2 linked regions of the Macaca fascicularis genome follow. The protein of the gene in region 1 binds, or shares a complex with, the protein of each later gene. Links are inferred from orthologs where the notes say so. Each region holds a gene or a part of one and is shown in the gene's direction. Other genes may lie near its edges.

What was found. Proteins that work in one complex are often made in the same cells at the same time.
Region 2: CEP290 (region 1) and TMEM67 share a complex: the UniProt entries of both Homo sapiens proteins name them as parts of the tectonic-like complex. The link is inferred for Macaca fascicularis from reciprocal best matches to the Homo sapiens genes CEP290 and TMEM67.

The regions. Positions count from the first base shown.
Region 1 is NC_088385.1:94,984,763-94,988,421, reverse strand, and holds part of CEP290 (centrosomal protein of 290 kDa), read left to right. Parts: intron 1-81; coding exon 82-176; intron 177-3,322; coding exon 3,323-3,402; intron 3,403-3,606; exon of another isoform or gene 3,607-3,659. UniProt on the Homo sapiens protein: Involved in early and late steps in cilia formation. Its association with CCP110 is required for inhibition of primary cilia formation by CCP110.
Region 2 is NC_088382.1:103,464,455-103,466,973, forward strand, and holds part of TMEM67 (meckelin), read left to right. Parts: intron 1-1,909; coding exon 1,910-2,052; intron 2,053-2,519. UniProt on the Homo sapiens protein: Required for ciliary structure and function. Part of the tectonic-like complex which is required for tissue-specific ciliogenesis and may regulate ciliary membrane composition.

The DNA.
Region 1 (3,659 bases):
TAGTTCATAAGAAATGCCCATATATTTTATGAAGCAATACCTGCCTTCTTTTTTTTTTAACAAATTATCATTGTGTTCTAGATTAGCTAATAGTCAGCTGGATAAAGAGAAAGCAGAATTAATCCATCAGATAGAAGCTAACAAGGACCAAAGTGGAGCTGAAAGCACCATACCTGGTAATATATTTTAAAAAACATGTTAGCTACCCCCAGGTTTTTGAATTTGGGTTTACCTTTTTTTTTGTTCTTTTGGCTCAGATTTCTGATCATTGTCTCAGTGTAAAATCAAATTCCTGATAAGTTTTGGATCTCTTGTCTCTCCTCCATGCTATTAATATAAAAATATTCCCATTTTTCTCTTTGTGTTGTTTATACTATAGAGTAGCAAGTACCCAAGTGTTTTTCTCTTTGTTCTCCATCTGGGTGTTACAGATTTAATCACAATGCAGGGCTAAGCAATGAATACTAAATCTGTTGCTTCCAGTTTCTAAGTATAGGCTCTTTCAAGTCCTCTGAACATTTTTAAAAACTGCAAATAAGTAAATACTGCCTACATTTTTTTCCTTTTACAAAGTAAAAAGAAAGTATGTTTCTGCTGCCTTCCATTCCCATTCAAAAGTGATTACTAATCATTCCTCATTCCTACATATACATACACACATATTTTATGTACATATATATCACACATATGCATACATGTGTTTATGTGTTCATATGTATAATAGATCCTCATTATTTGTGGATTCTGTATTTTCTAAATCACCTGCTCACTAAGGCGTGTATGTAATCCCCAAATCAACACTCGCAGCACATTTGCAGACATCCACAGAGCCTTGGAAAGTTTGAATAATCCAACCTACATGTCCCCAGCAGAGGTTCAACAAGGCGGTGCTCAGTATCGTCATTTCAGTTTTCATAGAGAAATGATCAAAGGATGGAGACGGTAGAGGGCAGCACAGCATAGTGCAAGAAGCTGTGGCTCTGGGGCCTGTTGGAAGGGATTTGAATCCCAATTCTGAGGCTTGTTAGTGCTTTAGGCTTAGGAGAGTCACGAACGCTTCTGAACCTTTTCTTATGTAAATAAATAGAATTTACCAGGATGAGTTATCTTTAGGATTTAAGATTATCATGTGTGAGATATGTAGGTGTATGTATGTATATGTATGTCTGTACATATTTCCCCTAGCAGCAGTGGTTTGATATTCACTAATTGGGCTAACTTTATAGACTAAAACTACTGTGGATAGAGAATAGACTTTGTTTGCATATACATATATATATTTTCTTGGCAAGTGACATAAAATTGAACTCATACTATACACATGTCTAGCGTATTTGCCTTTAACAGTTTATCCTGGACATCTTGTGAGGTCTGTTCATAAATCTGTCTCATCCATTTAATAATTCTATAGTGTATTATTGCATGTATAAGCATATTGAACCATTTATGTTTTGGTGGATAGTTTGCTTCCAAGTTTCTGCTTTTATAAAATATGATTAATCTCTTGACCTTATTATGCCATTGTTTGATAGTATGATAGAAATGCCATCCTCTGCAAAGGATTATACCAATTTATATCTGAACTATCTTTGACTATTTCTTGTAGCTTTTTCAATATGGTATGTAGTCCTATTACTAATTTGTAATAAAAGCCATCATGTGTGAGTTGTACTTGACACTATGCTAACTGCCTTACAAGCATTCTATATTTACACCCATATATGATAGGTATTACTGTCTCCATTTTATGTGATAAACAGATTCAAAGTGGTTAAGTAACCATTCCCCAAGGTCAGCTAGGAAATAGCAGGATTAAAATCTAAATCTATGAAACTCCACAGCTCCTTGGCATTCCTAGCCCTTAACCACTATACTGTGCTACGTCTTGGTAACTAAAAGTACCTACTAAATACTCTCAAAATATGCCTTATAGCAGCCTGCTTGGTTTGTACTAGACAATTTTATAATTTTCCTTCCATCCATATACTAACCAGGGCCAATAGTGCTTAGCTTCTGAGATCAGAGATCAGGTGCGTGTGCATTAAGGGTCATATGGCCATAGTTCTCTAATCTTTCTAAACCTGTTTCTTAAGGAAATTTCTGAGCCTTCAAAATTCCTTATCTCTGATGTGAAGTAGACAGATTACCTGTCATTTTTCTAAGATTAAGGCTTAAAATCAAACCAGAACTGTTTTGGAAACTCTAAATCACTTTCTATATAAGTGGTAAGATAACTTTTAAGATACTTGTCCCAGGCCCAGCACAGTAGCACACACCTGTAATCCCAGCACTTTGGGAGGCTGAAGCGGGCGGATCACCTGAGATCAGGAGTTCGAGACCACTCTGGCCAACATGGTGAAACCTGTCTCTACTAAAAATATAAAAATTAGCCAGGCGTGGTGGTGCTTGCCTGTAATCCCAGCTACAAAGGAGGCTAACGCAGGAGAATCGCTTTAGCCTGGGAGGCAGTGATTGTTGCAGTGAGCCAAGATTGCGCCATTACACTCTAGCCTGGGCGACAGAGTGAGACTGTCTCAAAAAGAAAAAAGGATACTTGTCCCAGCCATGAAAATGTTTGCTGCACCTTATCAAACTTTTAGAATTTTATTCTTCAATGGCTGTAAAATATGACTTGACTCATTAAATGTAGTGTAATGTAAAGAAAAGAGGTATCTAGCAAAGATAGCATTAAAGCAAAAATCGTATTTGCCTGCTGATAAAGTTAGAGGTATGTTAACTTGCAGGGTAAATCCAATAAATAACTTTTGTGCTGTATTTGTAGACTTTTGTTTTCCTACCAAAGTATCAGGGCTATCTATGTCTTATTTTTGTATTACACAGCTTGCATGACACATTTTGCACGTAGTAATTGCGCAGTAAACATGTAATAACCCACGTGGAATAGCCAATGCTGTGTTGGATAGCGGGAGCATTTGGCCAGCTTATGGTTATAGCCCCTTACCCAACAGTCTGCTTTTCTTCTGTTGTAGTTTTAGTACCTAACAAGTTTTCCTGGCTTTAAGATTTTTTCCGTGTAAAATTTCTATCATGTGAAAAAAAAAAAAAAAAAAAAAAAACAACTTGGCCTATATTTCTAATACCTAGCAAATAACCTCTTTTTGCCTGCTATGAAATTACAATACTTAATGGAGGGAGGTAGCATCAAGTGTTTACATCCTTAAGTATTTCAGCCATAAAATCCAGTATTTTCCTAGTTCTAGGTTTCGTAAAACAAATCTCTGTTCTCTAGAACAAAGTCATTACTTTGAACTCATTCGTAGTGGGAAAAAGCTGAGTTTAACTTGTATAACTTTTTTGACAGATGCTGATCAACTAAAGGAAAAAGTAAAAGATCTAGAGACACAGCTCAACATGTCAGATCTAGAAAAGCAGCATTTGAAGGTAATGTGTATTTTAGTATCATTTTGTGAAAATAGCTGTTGAAAACTATGTTCATTACCATCTTCGAGTTTTCAGTACGTATCCTAAAAAATTCATGTAATAGCATCTTATATTTGACCTTTATATTGCAAAGTTAATTATGTTCATCTGACTAGTCCTAATATATTTATTAAATAAGAGCTAACAAAAAATTCAGACTCAACATAGGATTAAATAGTAAATTTATTTTTTAATTGTAACAAATATATGCCATTAGT
Region 2 (2,519 bases), on another chromosome or scaffold:
CTCTTCCTCCTCTTTCTAACTGTATTCTTCCATCTCTCTATCTTCTTCTTTTTTTTTTTTTTTTTGGAGATGGAGTTTCGCTCTGTTGTCCAGGCTGGAGTGCAGTGGCGCAATCTTGGCTCACTGCAACCTCCGCCTCCCAGGTTCAAGCAATTCTCCTGCCTCAGCTACTCGAGTAGCTGGAATTACAGGTGCCTGCCACCACACCTGGCTAATTTTTGTGTTTTTGGTAAAGATGGAGTTTCACCATATTGGCCAGGCTGGCCTCGAACTCCTGACCTCAAGTGACCTGCCCACCTCAGCCTCCCAAAGTGGGATTGCAGGTGTGAGCCACCGCTCCTGGCCTCACTATCTTCGTCTTCATCAAGAGCTGATGAGACTATGAGCTAAGGCAGTAGCAGTGGGGCTAGAGAAGAAAGGATTGCCAGAAATGTTAAGGGAAAAGACTAGTCAAAAATTATCCAGACTTCTGGCTGTGTGACTAAGTGGGTGGTGGTGCCTTTCAATAACAGAGGCAATACAGAAGGAGGACCAGGTTTTGAGGGAAAGAGGATGAATTTAGTTTTCAGTATGTTGCATCTTGAGGTACTTTAGGACATCTAGGAAGAGGTATCCAGTAGGCATTAAATATAAGGGACCAGGTCGTAGGAGAAAGTAGAAGCACACAATAAATTGAGGAGTTGCTATCATATGAAGTCATTGCTGGAGCAGTGTTAGTAGAAAATCACCAAGAGACAGTATGTAAAACAGGTTTATTTTTAAGATTATATATGCAAGTATAATGTGCATATTTTGTAAGGATATAACTTATAGGTCAGTGAATTTTCACAAACTGAATATACCCCTGTAACTAGTACCCTTTCAAGAGAGAACATTACCAGCACTCCAGATGCCCCCTTGTATAAAGCAGATGTTCCTAACTGGGTATCCCCGGGCTGCTTCAGTGGTTTTCTGGATTTCCCTGAAATTGTTGGCAAGACTTGTATATGTATGGTTTTTTTTTGTTTTTTTTTTTCCTGGTGGAAGGGTCTTTAGCTTTCATCAGGCTTTTGTAGTTTTTTGTTTGTTTGTTTGTTTGTTTAGAGACAGGTTTTTGCTCTGTTGCCCAGGCTAGAGTGCAGTGGTGCAATCATATTAATAGCTCGCTATAACCTCAGACTCCTGGGTTCATGCACTCCTCCCATCTCAGTCTCCCAAATAGCTAAGACTACAGGTGTGCACCACCAGATCCTTTTTCTTTTTTTTTGGTAGAGATGGAGTCTCACTATGTTGCCTAGGCTGGTCTTGAACTCCTGGCCTCAAGCAGTCCTCCTGCCTCAGCCTCCCAGAGTGCTGGAATTACAGGCATGAGACACTGTGCCCGGCCTCATCATAATCTTTTTAAAAGGGTGTTCACATCCCAATAAGGATGAAACCCGCTGGTGGAGTGAGAAGAGAACTTAGAGCAAAACCTTAAGGGGACTATTTGAAATAAATTATTGAACTCTTGAACACTGTGTACTATTCTGTGCCTTGCTGGGTTTTTTCTCTAATATACTCTATCTTAGGGAATGTTTGTAAGATTAATTTAGCTTTTAGTTACATAAAGAAATAGAGAAAGGCTATTTATTAACTGGTCTTTGAAACTTACACTACTAGCAGTTACCAACCATTGGTCCTAATGTTAAAACTGCTTTATAGGAGGTGTTATGAGTTTTTTAACTAACCTCTTTTAGATGAGCAAATCTTAAAATTTTTGTTTATTTTTAATTTAATTATTTTGTTTATTTTTGTGTAAGCCATGAATTATTGTATATAGTATGTTTCTAATGTGCTATTTTTAAATATCCAGATTTTGTCACCAGAAATTTATCACAGACTTGTTCCTTTTTTAAATTTCTAATTTATATTTTCTAAACTTTTTTAATAGATGAAGGTTATTCTTTCAGCAGTGTCCTGTATTATGGAAATGAAGCTACCCTTCTTATTTTTGATCTGCTGTTCTTCTGTGTTGTGGATTTGGCTTGCCAAAATTTTATTTTAGCATCCTTCCTTACATATCTACAACAAGAGGTAAATTTTAAAAATTTTTCTACATTTCCCTTCATTTTCTTGAGAGAAATATGTTAGAAGTAGATATTTTCATAGCAGAGAGTAACAATGTCTACTTTTACTACAATTTTGTAAAGGTTTAGAATATGACTAACCCCACCAAAAGGAGGAATAACATTTCAAACAACTGTACTCTGTCCTTTAGGGTCAATGAAATACTGAGGTCTAGTGGAGGGCATCAGTTGCTTGATTATACATGGAAGAGGAATCCTATAGGAAGACATTTAACTACTAGTCTCCTAGATGCTACAAGTGAACAGTAATTAGAGTCCCATCCACCCTCTCCACCAGATGTTAAGTAACAAAAAAACAGGCACTGGAGAGCTAGCTCAGGGCTCAGCACCAAAGGGAAGCCCCCTTTAGCCTGCAGCTTTGACACCTCGTCTACCAGTGTAGATGAAAAGCAACTTTGTGTATGAGTGTGGACC